2 linked regions of the Danio rerio genome follow. The protein of the gene in region 2 purifies or fractionates together with the protein of the main gene of each other region. This does not show direct contact. Links are inferred from orthologs where the notes say so. Each region holds a gene or a part of one and is shown on either strand. Other genes may lie near its edges.

What was found. The genes of interacting proteins can lie anywhere in the genome.
Region 1: the proteins of myo6b (region 2) and cltcb purify together in Homo sapiens (affinity purification with western blotting; 4 studies listed by BioGRID and IntAct, with this or other methods). This does not show direct contact. The link is inferred for Danio rerio from reciprocal best matches to the Homo sapiens genes MYO6 and CLTC.

Annotation. Positions count from the first base shown.
Region 1 is NC_133190.1:19,766,974-19,774,072, forward strand, and holds the end of cltcb (clathrin heavy chain 1), read left to right. Parts: intron 1-3,717; coding exon 3,718-3,848; 3' UTR 3,849-4,914; downstream 4,915-7,099. UniProt on the Homo sapiens protein: Clathrin is the major protein of the polyhedral coat of coated pits and vesicles. Two different adapter protein complexes link the clathrin lattice either to the plasma membrane or to the trans-Golgi network.
Region 2 is NC_133192.1:38,702,783-38,711,243, reverse strand, and holds the start of myo6b (myosin VIb), read left to right. Parts: upstream 1-3,150; 5' UTR 3,151-3,300; intron 3,301-8,461. UniProt on the Homo sapiens protein: Myosins are actin-based motor molecules with ATPase activity. Unconventional myosins serve in intracellular movements. Myosin 6 is a reverse-direction motor protein that moves towards the minus-end of actin filaments.

The sequences.
Region 1 (7,099 bases), on a different chromosome or scaffold from region 2:
AATGAACAATACATTTACTACAGTATTTATTCATGTTAATAAACATTAATTAATGAAAATACAGTCGTTCATTGTTAGTTCATGTTAACTCATGGTGCATTAACTAATGTTAACAAGCGTGGACTTAAATGTTAATAATGCATTAGTAAATGTTCAATTATGATTATTAAATGCTGAACATGTGTTGTTCATGATTAGTTCATGTTAGTAAATGCATTAACTAATGAACCTTATTGTAAAGTGTTACCGATATATCTTGCCACAATCTTCGAGCCAGGCCATGATCAAGCATTTGTGGTTTTTATTTTATTTTTATGTTTAGGTCATTTCTAAAATAGCCTAAATGTGTGGAGAGCTATACACAAATCTATAATGAAATGTGTGTGAAATTATGTTTAAAAGAAAAGACGCCAGGCGGACATGTATATATACTATTATTAAGTGTATTTGCCTGTTTAAAAACGCACCAAAACCCAAAGCGTCCACTGTCGCTTATCTTCAAATCACATGTCCAGAAGCTGATCTGAGAATAGTGTCTTTATGCTGAGCATGCATCAGTCACCTGTGTGCAGCGTGTATGTGAGCAGAAGCAGCGCACAGGTGTTTGCTTTTCACACTGGATGTGCCTGCAGTGCAAAGCTGATTGGCGGCTGCAGCTGCACAGATCGATCTGTCTCTATATCTAGTTACCTATCTATCTTTATATATAAATATATTATTTATTTTTAATTCTCATCTGTACTAAGGCCCACAGCTACTTCCTGCATGTGTGACGTGAAACAGGCATTATGTGGATTGACTGATTCAGAGGCTGCATATTGAATTTTATCATCATTTCAAGTCAAAATAAAATAAAAGGAAAGCATAATCCTCTTGAACAGCTTTTGCAATTAGACTAGATCACATTTAAGATCAGCTCTTTATTAATACTTTCACTTTACAAAGAAAGGTAGGGGAAAATCTTTAATAGGGATGATAGCCATATAGAATGGTAAAAAACGGGAGGGTTGACAGGTATGCAGAAAGTATGATAGTCAGTCTTCAATGTCCTCTTTTGTCACTTCTTCAAGCATGCCCCTGAGAGCGAGGTAAGATAAATCTAAACTAATTTCTGTAGTTCAAACAACTCAGAGTTGTAGCTGAGAAAGTATGTTGTAACAGCTCACTTATTAAAAAAATAGTCGAGTTTAAATTGGGCTCAAGGCTGATTTTTAGTTCTGCGTCGAGTGATCAGATTTTAAATGTACAAGTAGCTAAAACAAACTTATTCAGAGGTGGGAAATGGCGGACGTGCAACAGCATTAATCATAAGGTGAACACAAAACAACATTTTCCATCTGGAGCTCCTTTACGGGACCCAACACTTGTAAACACTCGCTCCCCTATGGCTCGTGGCTCTTAGCACCACCACAGTGTTGCCAACTATTTTCAATGAAAAGGCGCTAAGATATGCTCAAAAAGTTGCTAAATGTTGCTAAATTACGTCATACGTCAATTTGCATATTACTGACGTCATCATGTCCAGCAGTTTTTTTACAGCCTATGGTTAATATTTATAGCAATGGAAATATTTACAATTGCACTATGCTTTATATATGAATGTCAATTTAATTAAATTAATTGTTTGAATATTCATATAGATGTATAATGAATTTGCAGTAATCTCCCAAACATTATAAACACACAAGTTCCAAAACTATCACAAAAATCTCTTTAATAGTTATAAGAAACTCGTTACTGAGGAACATGAACACCTACTGCCAGGTAGAGTTTAGGAATTATTATTGCAGAGCAACAGAAACAGCGAGCAGAAGTATGAATGCACAGCGTTGCATGCGCCGTGGGTGACGCCGATCACTCAAAGCAGAGGTATAAACCAGGCTTAAGCAATAATATCCATCTGCAGGCCCGCAGAACCACACACGTTTTAGGCACACACAATCTAGGACACACGATTTAGGCAAACCATATGTGGTAACTAACTAACTCTTTAGCTTTATCGCCACCTATTGAATTTCACAAGTATGGTTTAAGTCATTATTATTATCATCATCTCTGCAGTTTCTGAAATCAAATTATGTAAATAAAAATAATTGGTTAAAGACACTTATGACTTTATTCATGTGTCCACATACACAAAGAAAACATAACAGACTGTCTAATTGTAAGATTAAGTGTAATAAACTAAATTAGGATCTTAATCTTATCATACTTGGTTAAAATCACTTTGTTGTAAAATATAAAAAGCAAGCAATATTGTGTCACATTAAAATAAATTAGCATACTATAGTTAATCATTTAAACTATATATATATATACATATATATATATATATATATATATATATATATATATATATATATATATATATACATATATATATATATATATATATATATATATATATATATAGTTATATAGTTATATATATATATAGTTATAAACTGATTATCTTAACTGATTATAATTATAAGTTTATATATAAACTATCTTTTATTAAACTGTCACAGCTGTGTGTGTGTGTGTGTGTGTGTGTGTGTGTGTGTATATATATATATATATATATTTTTTTTTTTTTTTACTTATTATTTTTTATTAATTATTAATAGTTAATTTGTTCTTATTGCTAAATTTTGATTTAAAAACAATTTGTTGCTTACTATAAATTACTACAGTATTAAATGTGGGAAATCATTCATTAAAAGGTTATTAGAAAGTTAAGCAAATAAACACTATAAAATCGCTTTTGAGTAAAATATTAATATATTGTTATACATTTGTTACATGTAAAAAGATTTTTATTACATATAATGTGTTATTGCCTATATTTACTTGCTATTATTTCCTTCATTATAAATGAATCCATTATATAAATTAAACCTGTCCAAATTAGATAGTTCAGCAAGGCCACCAAACGCGTATCTGCCATATTATTGTCAGATAATAATGACTGATTTGCTATAATGACTGATTAAAAGCTGTTCAGTCTATTATATTGAATGGCGATCGGAAGCAATGCTCCCCATTCGGCCATCTCGATCACAATATTTGTGAAATAAAGTAAAGTAAACACTATTGTTTGTTGTGTACAATATTTATTAACCATATATATCAAAACATATCGATGACGATGTTCAAAAAGACGTTAATAACATTAACATCCGTCGTAACCATATATGGTTTGCCTAGATTGTGTGTGCCAGATTGTGTGTGCCTAAAACGTGTGTGGTTCTGCGGGCCTGTAGCTGGATATATCTCAGTTTAAGGGGGTCTGAAAAGTTGGCAACACTGCACACACCGCCCACACTCGTCACAGCTACCCCAGCCGACCAATCACGGAGCTTGCGCTACACGCCGTTGTGACTTGTAGTAACAATTTTTGAGAGGTGTACATTAGCGATGACGAGGGCTATGCGACCATGCGTAGGCTTGTGCCGGAGCATACACGTGTGTTTGACACAGAAGTATAAATCAGCCTTGAGCCAGAGCCTGCGCTTGACGCCGAAGTATAAATCAGCCTTCAGGCTCATAATTACCGTTAATGTGTCACACCAGGTCAGACTTGGACACAAGTTGCTCGAGTAGGGTCAGGTTTAATTTTTTGGGCTCGATCTAAGCTCTATTTTACTGTTGCATTCAAAGCTTGTTAAATATGAACAAACAAATTATATACATGGTTTCAGTACTAATGCTCCTGTTTTGAATGATTTTTTTCAGGCACACCCCAGCTGATGCTCACTGCAGGTCCCAATGTGGCAGTTCCCCCACAGCAGCCTTACGGCTATGGCTACCCCACAGCGACCGGCTACACCCAACCCGCACAGCCCGGCTTCGGCTATGGCATGTAAAGCCCTCCTGCCCACAGCTGTCCATCCATCTCTCCTTAAGTTCCTCACAAAGCTTATCGTGGTCTACTCACAAGGTTATATAAAGTAAAACAAACAAACAAACAAAAAAAAGTTACATGTTTTAAATTATTTTCCTGCAATGAAGGACTTCATTTTTATTTGTGTTGTCAAAGAAAAAAATCGGACCACACTTTTGTTATTTCACATTCCATATTTAAGGCTACTTATATCACTAGTTCTTTTTTTTTTGTGAGCTGATTTTTTTTAAGGGGGCATGGGTTGTGTATGTAAGTGGAGTGTTGAGAAGAGCAATTAACCTTAAAATATGTTGTGAAGCATCTGATTTGCACTCTGTCGTGAGAGGAAACTAATGTAGAATCTCTTAATTTTGATGTATTGTATGTGAAGAGCTTACACTGTCAGTCTGTTTAATGCATTTCATTATTGTATATTCTGGAAAAAAAAGGTTAAAGACGATATTTGAACATGAACGTATGCATCCATGGGTACATTTAGCTAACACTAAGTAATAATCTGATATTCTACACAAATATGTAGCTGTATGGGAATTTTAAGCGCATACAGATATGAATATAGTAAACGATTTTAATCCCTTAGCATAAACAGGTTTCCCCCCCGATCGACCTCGTAGTTGTTAACATCTCATCATCCACTCCATGTGTAACAGGTGACCTTTCCTTGTATTGAATACAGTGCTCTTTCTTGTGTGAATCCATTTCCATAAATGAGCAAGGGATACATTGATTCTTCTGACTTCTGTGTTTACTCATCCGATACTTTGTATTAAGGTGTGTGTGTGTGTGTGAGTGCCAGGTGTCGTGCTGTTCTAGCTCACTATTCGGAGTGTACAGAAGAATGAATACACAGAATGGATACCGATGCTTGTCCACCTGTAAGATTTTGTGTGTGATCTGCAGAATCTGAAAAATAATAATAATAATTATGAGGGGAGGGTGAGGAAGAAATACACAGGATTGTAATTTTTTTGGTGGCTTGATTGTAAATTGGCAAAGATTAAAATGAAACTCATCCATTCTCCATCAAATATCTCGCAACTTTGTTTTTATGCAAATCACAGCAGCCATTTGAGGTGTACACCGTTGTTGTAACTATGTTGTGGCAGAAGAACTTTGGCGTAAAACATCAAGTAATGCTTTACTCGTAGTTTGTTCCATTAACAAATATGCTGAGCCTTGACATAATAGCCCAAATTGAACTCTGATCTCTGAATTAAGCTACTACGGTTTAAATGCCAAAACATAGCACCTAAATCAGGGGTGCCTAAACTCGGTCCTGAAGAACCAGTGTCCTGCATGGTTTAGCTCCAACTTCCTTTAACACACTTGCCTGGTGGTTTCTAGTATACCTGGAAAGAGCTTGATTACCTGGTGCAGGTGTGTTTAATTGGGGTTGAAACTAAATTATGAAGGACACCAGCCCAACAGGACTGAGTTTGGGCACCCCTGACCTAAATGAATAAGTGGTGGTCAGGTAGTACAGCACACAGTTGAAGTCAGAATTATTAGCCCCCTGATTTATTAACCCCCGTTTATTTTTTCCCCAAATTTTTGTTTAATGGAGAGTAGATTTTTTTCAACACATTTCTAAACATAATAGTTTTAATAAGTCAACTCTAATAACTGATTTATTTTATCTTTGCCATGATGACAGTAAATAATATTTGACTAGATATTTTTCAAGACACTTCTATAAAGCTTAAAGTGACATTTAAAGGCTTAACTAGGTTAATTAGATGAACTAGGCAGGTTAGGATAATTAGGTTAAGTTATTGTATGACAATTGTTTTTTTCTGTAGACTATCAAAAAAAAAAAAAATATATATATATATATATATATATATATATATATATATATATATATATATATATATATATCCTAAAGGGGCCAAAAATTTTGTCCTTAAAATGTTTATTACAAAATCAAAAACTGCTTTTATTCTTGTCGAAATAAAACAAATAAGACTTTCTCCAGAAGGAATAAAATTATCAGACATACTGTGAAAATTTCCTTGCTCTGTTAAACTTAATTTTGGGAAATATTTAAAAAAAAAGAGAAAAAAAAATCAAAGGGGGGCTAATAATTCTGACTTTGTATATAAATTGTATACTGCATTACACTAATTAGAAGTTATCATATTATTTAATAATAATATATTTAATAATAATAATTATTATTATTTTCATTAAACATTAAATTACCAAATAGAACAATTGAAAGAAGCACTCCACTTTTTTTGGAAATAGTATTATTTTACAGCTTTTCAAGAGTTAAACAGTTGAGTTTTACGTTATTTTTAATCCATTCAGTCAATCCCCAGCTCTGGTGGGGTCATTTTTAGGGTTGTTGCTAGATCAGATAAGGTTGCGTCCGGAAGTGGACGAGAATTATTTCTATTATGTATTACAGGGTTCACCAATCCTGGTCCTGGAGGGCCGGTGTCCCTGCAGGGTTTAGCTCCAACTTGCCTCAACACACCTGCTGGGTGTTTCAAGTATACCTAATGCCTTGATTAGCTTGTTCAGTTGTGTTTGATAAGAGTTAGAGCTAAAATGTGTAGGACACCGGCCCTCCAGGAACAAGTTTGGTGACCCCTGATGTATTAAATTTTCCAATAATTGTGTTTTTAAAAAACGTCTACCTCTACCCCAACTTTAAACCCAATGTTTGTAGTATTGTAAAAACGGTAGTTGTACCGAGTATAATGTTATTTAATAAACTGGCCAATAAATTGTCCTTTTTTTAGTCTACCCCCACCCTAAACCCAACCGTCATGGTACTGTAAGAACAGTAGTTGTACCTAGTATTATTTGTGTTATCTAGTAAATTACCCAATAAGTTGTATTTTATACCCCTAACCTACCCCTAAACCCAACCAACACAGTACTGTAAAAATATTAATTGTTGTTACACAGCATCACAAGTATGATGCTATATTGACGTGCGTATCCGCAGCTGTGCCCTATCTAGGTCTTTACCCATTTTTAGCTTAGCTTAGCATAAATCACTGAATTGGATTAGACCGTTAGCATTTTGTCAAATAAGTAAATAGAATTTTGATAATTTTCCCATTTAAAGCCTGATCCTCTGTAGTTACTGTTCTTCATGTACTAAGACTGTTGCAAATTAAAAATTGATACTAATGATACTAATGGTCTAATCTGATTCAATGATTTATGCTTAGATATTAGTGTTTCTGCCAGACCAGGAGA
Region 2 (8,461 bases):
AACTGATGATCTACTGGGATTTTTACGCACAGCCATCTCTAGAGTTTATAGAGAATGGCCTGAAAAAGAGAAAATATCCAGTGAGCGGCAGTTCTGTGGGTGCGAATGCCTTGTTGATGGCAGAGGTCAGAGGAGAATGGCCAGACTGGTTTGAGCTGACACACGTCGAACCTTGAGGTGGATGGGCTACAGCAGCAGAAGACCACACAGGGTGCCACTCTTGTCAGCTAAGAACAGCTAAATGAGATGGAATTTAGCACAGGCTCACCAAAATTGGACAATAGAAGATTGGAAAAACGTCTGGTCTGACGAGTCTCGATTTCTGTTGCCATTCAGATGGTAGGGTCAGAATTTGGCGTCAACAGCATGAAAGTATGGATTCATCCTGCTTTGTATCAACGGTTCAGGCTGGTGGTGGTGTTATGGTGTGGGGGATGTTTTCTTGGCACACTTTTGGCCCATTAGTACCAATTGAGCATCATGTCAATGTCACAGCCTTCCTCCGTATTGTTGCTGACTATGTCCATCCTTTTATGACCACAGTGTACCCATCTTCTGATACTTGAACAATGAGTTCACAGTACTCAAATGACCTCCAGTCACCAGCTCAATCCAATGGAGCACCTTTGGGATGTGGTGGAATGGGAGATTTGCATCATGAATGTGCAGTTATGATGCTATCATGTCAATATGGACTAAAATATCTGAGGAGTACCTTGATGAGTTTATGCCATAAAGGATTAAGGCAGTTCTGAAGGCAAAAGTGTGTCCAACCTGGTACTACAGTAGTAAGGTGTACCTAATAAAGTGGCCGGTGAGAGTACATTACTACTCTGTAAAAACAAATCTTGCTGCCTTATTTTTTTAGTTAAATCAAATGAACTTGTCTAGCTTGCATCCAACTATTAAGTTACATTTTGTACAACGTAAAAAAAAACAAAAAAAAACATGAAACCGGATTAGCTCATTTTAACAATAATGTAAAGTAGCAAAACATTTGTTTTCATCACTTTGCTTGATTTATTTTTACAGTGCAAGCATTATAGACTCAATTTAAAGACAACTTTCCTTGATGTTTAGTTATTTTTTTCTGATATCCCTACTGAAAAAACAACTTTAACCAGCCTAAGCTAGTTGGCTGCTTTTAGCTGGTTGACTAGTCTGGTTTTAGAGGGGTTGTGGCCACTTCCAGGCTGGTTTCCAGCAATTTCCAGACTCGTCTTAGCTGGTCAGGCTGGGAGATGACTAGGTAAAACCAGCTTGACCAGCCAGATTTAAGCTGAACTTAGCTGGTTTTGGCTGGGCTCCCAGCCTGGCTAGGCTGGTCAAGCTGGTTTAAGCTGGTCATCTCCCAGCCTGACCAGCTAAGACTAGTCTGGAAATTGCTGGAAACCAGTGGCCAAAACCACTTTAAAACCTGCCTGGCAGCTAAAACCAGGCTGGTTTAAGCAATTCTTTTCAGTAGGGATATTTACTAAAACTTGCCAAATCATAACAAAACATACATCAAAGTAACAAATTTATTCAACTTTCATGTGATGTATAAATCTCAATGTCTAGAAATTGACATTTAAAAAAAACATTTAAATTATAAAATTTAAACTTAAATAAAATTGATTTATTTTTACGTCTCGAGATCTGATCTCAGAGCATATTCATACTCTAGTTATGCTGGTTATTTTATGTTTTTATTTATAATGTGTCCCAGCTGGCATAACCCCCTTACTTCATATGTTCTCCCATTAGAGCTAGTAATATAGGCTACATAAAAAATTATTATTTTAAGATAATCATTTTGCTATAAGAACTCTTTCATATTTTTTGCTTCTGGCAAATGTGCTCTGGTACACCTTGCATGCTTTATGCACGTTTGTTTTTATGTCTGCAATGCTCTTGGGAAATGCAGAAGTCAGCGTGGCATTAAATCTAATTAATGGAGCTTCTTCAGGCTCACCAGATGACTTAAAACTCTTGTTTAGCTGTTTCTGGGGAAACTGATGTCGAATATTAGGCCTACTCTGTCTCCATCCCAAGATATTCTGTGAGACTATACGTAACTCAAGCTGGAGGCTATAGTTAACCTGTATAACACCCCAAAGCAACAGCATGAAGTCGTATATGGGATGAAGAGTGGTTGTCAGAGTCTTAAACACACACAAAAAAACTGTTTGTTATAACTTTTTTGCTTAGAAATTTGATATAGCGACACGTAGTGAGAGATCAGGTGTCCTAATTAGATTTACAAACACAAAGTCTGCTTTCAATGTGGTTTAAGATTTCAACTTAGGAATACTTCTATACGTTTTGAATTACAAGCCAAATAAAATATTAATGAGCCTTCAGTTTGTATCAGTTGCGCGCCTTTTAGTAACTATGGCAACCCAGTAGGCACCTTGTGACTTTCTCCTCATCCCTTAGCAAGTTTTATCCATCCTGAATTAAACTTTACTAGTACGTTAACGAACTGGGACTTGTTTTAGTACAATAATACAGTTTATAACTTGAAGAACTGATTCCAGCCACCAGAACGTTTTAACTTAACCTTCTTTTAGTTCCCAGAACGTTCTTTTAAGGTTTTTGGTTAGCCAAAATGAAAACAACATTAGCTTTAACGTTAGGTTGTAAAGTGTACACAAGACGATAATAATGTGCTTGAGGGGATAACTTTTAATATTAGACGACCTGTTTTAGTATGTTTGATGTTTTTATGTGATGATAACACTATTTTTTTACATAACACTAATAAGCAGCTTGATTTGAGCGATAAGAACTGGTAAAATTTACCATGACATACTATATATTTAGTCATTAAAACTAAAATATTCCTCGTAAAACATATTCTATATCACCTTTATAGTAAACAACCAGTTATTCGTGTCATTTAGATCAATCAATGTATCGGCTACGTCTTAAAAGATTAGTTTGCGCCCTACCTAGGCAGCATAATGGTGCGTCATGTATTTGTAGTGAAGCCCGTCAAGTAACTTATATCATTGTAGCGCGTACATGTAAAGTCCACTGCACTCGCCTACTGCATGCCGCTTTTACTCAAACTATTTTGCCAGTCATGACCCTGTGTATTGAGACACCACCTGTGTCAGTCAGCGCTACTGTGTCACCGTTGAGGTCGCTGTTATTCCAGTGGACTTCAGTCTGAAGCCGGACACACAGAGAGGAACGACAGCGGCTTTGGAAAAGGGAATATTCAGCATCGAGGAGGGAATCTGTCACCGCTAACCGGGACAGTCTGTCGCTCATCTGTCCTCAAAAGAAGCTGCTCTTACCGGATTTACACACAATGTGAGTGACTTCGCTTACTTTATTTATTGCTTGACTGCGCTTTGTGGCAACTAAAGGTGTTGTTAGGCGTAAGTTGTGTTTAATTGCTTCTACAGTGGCGCGCTAGCATGCTGCTAATGAATGTGTTCATTCAGTATGGTTACAGTGAATTTTGTTATGTCAATGTTTGCAATGTCATTTATTTTTGCAGAATTTTGTTTAAAACGCAGGGTTGTATGACAACGAGTTCGGTTAACAAACTACTAGGAATACATGTATATCAGCGATAGTTAAATTCATTCTTAATCTTGCTTTTGGTTGTGTTTAGTTTTTTTTCTTTGAGAGCTTTTTCTATGGTGTTTTGTAAGCTGCGTGTGTGTGTGACCAAAGTTTTCCAGAAAATTAGTTAAGGCAGGCAGTATGTCATGGAAACTCGACAGGATATCCTATGTGTGCAGTTATAACGAGTGTAACTTTCTTCTGAAGTTGTGGAAACCATTGACAGAGGTAACGTTAGTTATTTGGGTTCCAATCGTATGAATGATGGATGCTTTAAACGCTGAATTAGGTGACTGTAAACTGCCGTTTGTGCGCATGCGCGACTGCTCTGGTTAAACGTCGTAATGGTTCCACCTTTATAATCCCCCAAGGGTCATTCTACGAAATGTGTGTCGTTTAAAGCGATTTATACTTGCATTTATGCACACATACAGTATGCATGACATTAATGTGGCTATTGCAGCTAGCTTTTAAAATGATTTTGGTGAGAGCTTTAAAAATAAATAATAATAACAAAACTTTACATTGCAATTCATTCATTCATATATTCATTCATTCATTCATTCATTCATTCATTCATTCATTCATTGGCCACACTTCATTTTATGGTAAAACTCTTGCTATTAATAAATCATTAATTTTGACTTGTAGTTTGACAAACTTCTACTTTGCTGCTTATTAATAGTAAGGTTTTAGTTGGCTTTATGTGTTTGGTAGGGTTAGGGATGCAAAATATGTATTTTAAGTACTACCAAACAGTTAATATCTCATTAATATACAGGCAATAAGCCAGTTGTTAATAGTAAGAATTAGTACTTGAACTAAATTGTTACCTATTTCATATGTTGTTGCAATTTTGCAATAATCATTTAAGAGATATAGCCTTTAAAATATATTTGTAGAATTTTGGACTTATGTAAACAGAGCATCTTTAGGTGCCAAAAACTCATTTTGTTATCTTGTCATATTAGTGTCAAAAACTATATACTGTATAATATCCACCCCCCCCCCCCCCAAAAAAAAAAATAAATAAAAAAATTCAGATATGTGTGTGTGTGTGTGTGTGTGTGTATATTAGGGATGCAACGATTATACATTTTGGTTGTACGATTATAGTCATGGAAATAATCACGGTTTCACGGTTATCACAATTATTATGCATTTATTAATTTCAAGCCCCACCAGTTTAGAAAATAAGATAAAAACTCCTTTTGCTTTACAGTGTTATTTATTGCTGCTCAGTAGCTAATTAATAAAGCACAAAATAATATAAAAAACGAACAATAGTAAATTTCTCTCTTTGTGCTTAAAAATAAGTGAATGTTTTTGACATTTAAACAAAGAATTTTACACTGTAAATAAATGACAGAACAATAAATAAATAAAAGAAAGAATAAATAAAAAAATGTAGGAGCACCCACTAAAAATTAATAAACACCACTGCAACTTGTATATTAAGGGATTTATTGTATTTGAAAACAACATCAATTAGGACTAACAAAAACCACAAACAACTATCTAACTAATGCTGAGATGACTTATTGATATTTGCGCAATAACTTCAAAATGAATGTCTAATAATTCTAAAATATTATTGATGACGAAGATGACACTAATACTAACAATGAATGATTAACATTTCTCATTTTCTTGCTGCTTTGAATGTGAGAGTTATCTGCTATAAAAAGTCCTACTGTTACTTTATGATAAATAAATGTATGGTTTGCATCAAAAAAATTAAGCATTGCAGTAAGAAAAGTTTATTTTGCACTATTGTTTTATATGCTGGTTAATTTACAAACAGAAAGAATGGACAAAAGAAAGGAAGAAAAGTCTCACTTCTGCTCCTATTTAAAAGTTTTGGTTTCGGTTTGTTCATTGTAAATGCTTAGTCTCGTTATGCTCTGATTTTCATCACTCTGTGTGAAAAAAACAACAACAGTGAGTCAGCCGGCTCATACAAGCGGGGTAGAGCAGGATTCTGTAGATGACCACCAGTGCAGTACTGTTGTCATGAGCCGCAGTTTCAGTTTAAACTTAGTAAAGGCGAGCTTCTTTGGGCGATAATGTGTACATTGTTAGGTTTTACATTTAGCAGAAATTTGCGGTGAATGCAACGCATCAAGATTTAGGCCATTAAACAGCTGATCCAATCCAATTCTTTCAGCACTCTTTAAAATCACTCTGTTGATCTTGGCTGGTGATTTAACATTTACTACATGATCGCTCTTATCGGCGCCATTAATAATAACTAATAATAATAAAGCAAGAGCGCTGTACGTCGTGTGTGCGTCCCTCCAGTGGAAATAATGAACTTGCATGAGCTTGCCTTAGCCTCGGTCATAGTTAATCTAGTGTGCGTGGTTATTAGTCTCAGTGACAAACTAGCGCAGTTAAGTTTCAGCAGTGCAGAAACACGGTGTGACGAATTAAATCGCAGTTAATAGTGAACCCGGTTGCATCCCTAGTGTATATATTGTTTTCTTATTCAAACTGGATCTTGTTGATGCATTTTTCAATGCAGCAGGAAAAATGTATCTCACTTTCACTCAGAAAATCACACCTTCACTTCACAAAATGCATTTACTTGCACAAACTTTCACTTGCCGAGAAATATTTATGATGCTTAGCTTTTATATTTATGTTGACATTTGATCAACTATTTGCTTTATTCATATGCATTTATTCAAATTCCATTATTTTCAGCGTGGTTTGTAAAAATACAATAAAATGGGGTTCAAATTATATTTTAACGAGATTCTGTTCTTTTCACTATTGAAAATGGTGTATATTATGCAGTAATAATATGGCAAAACAATAGTAACATTCAAAATGAGTCTGCGATGAAAATGAGAATGAAAATGAGAATGAAGTCTGCTAGGTTGGACGATATTGGAAAATCCTATATATATATATATATATATATATATATATATATATATATAGTGTATTTGCTGTGTAATTAAAAACACCTAAAGTTACAAATGATGTCACATCTGATTAATGATCATTTGTGGAATGTTAATCCACCGTTTACTCTTTTCAGAGTGGATAAAAGACATTGAGTTTAAAGTCCGCCAAGATATATATATATATATCGATTGGGATGATTCTGTAGTGGAGTGCATCTCCATAAAATCTAATGCATTTAAAATCAAGTACATTATACATTTTCGAAGTGGTCTGTGCTATTTGCAGTGCATTTCTGCATGTGTTGTATTTTATTACATAACTATCTATAAATACAATCAAGAAAAATGTACTCTTGAAATAAAGTGTTTTATCATTTCCCTTGTCTAACAGTATTCAAGTACAGTAAAACAGGGCTCGAAATTAACCTTTTTTCTTGGTAGCACTGGTACTCCCAACTTTAAAAAGTTAGGAGCACCAGCCAAAATTTAGTCACACCCACCAATTATAAGCACCGTTACTACAAGTTTTAATGTTATATTAACCGACTTACTGCATTTGAAATAAACACTAAACAATCTAACAAAACGACATCTGCATGTGCCCACCAGCCCTGCATGCACTGCTTGACATGAATTAAACTTAGTTAACTTAGCAGTTCTCACGGGTGCTGTGTAATATTGCACAGATAAGACTGACATAATAGCTTATTATTTGCATACGTCATCTTAATAGCAATACGGTTTTTTTATGAGCTGCAATATTAGTTTTATCTTAATGAATGCAAGCCCTTTTGCGATTGTGTACGTGGTGTTACATTTTACATACAGCTGACAGCATCCTGTTGATTAAATGAAGAATTAAACAGAACCTCTTGTGCTAAAATGTGTAGATTTGACAAACGCTGTTACCTGCAAACTCAGTCCCAGCGGCTTTACGGTGAATGCTTTAGTCATTTTCATAGCGGACTTTAAACTGAATGTCTTTTATCCACTCTTTGAAAAGAGTAAACGGTGAATTAACATTCACCAAATGATCATTAATCAGATGTGTCATCATTTGTAACTTTAGGTGTTTTATAAAACTTAATCTGTCAGTGTTGTTTTCATCCTCTCATCTCCAGCCCTTAACATGTTTGCGGTTGTAGCTCTCCCTGTCATCTAAAGAAAGCCATCGAATGAGTGATTGGCAGCTGATATTAACCAATCCGTTCGCATTCAGTGCTAGAGCAGTGGGCCAATCAGAAGAGCTTAAAGGTGGAGCAAGCATTGTGGGCTTTGTTTACTGCAGCAAGTTGACATGACAACTGTTTTAAACCATTTATGCGCGCTTTGTCCAACCCAGGCTCATTCTGAAAACGTAGTCCAGCGGATGTTTCTGGAGACCGCGAAATACGTCACGGGAGGTACGTATTTGTGCAGTTATTGTTTTTGCGAATCCGCGAGAGGCCGCTGTGCGCGCTTTTTCGTATCTTGATCGTCTCTCGCGAGTGCCGTTTGCGCCCGCGCTGTTCTCGCGTCAACCGACCAGAGGCCACTGTCTGACTGACCGAATAATTGACCGCGCAACCGGCCAATCGGCTGACCCACCCTCCTCCTTCCCTGAACCCAACCAGTTTTACCTATTGATCCGCTCGCCCATTTACTTTCTTAAACCCGAGCAACAATTTAGAAAAGCCGTCTAGAAAAAGAAAAGCCCTCGTCTGTTTTTTTTTTTTTACCACGTTTTCGGATTTCACCGCATTCTCACCCTCAGTTATGAACTCGTTCGCTTTATTTTTTGGATTCTGTTTTTGTCTTACCTGGTTTCTGGAACCTCTCTTCCCCGGACTCGATCCTGGATGCCTTTTGTCAACTCCTCCTCTCTGCATCTAAAGTCCGCCGACGCACACGATGAGCTGACCGGACAAACTGACTGCAGCAGGAAAGCCCTTCACACGGAGGTAAGCGGTCAGCCGGCAAGCGCGAAAGGTAACGGCGTCACACCGCTTAGT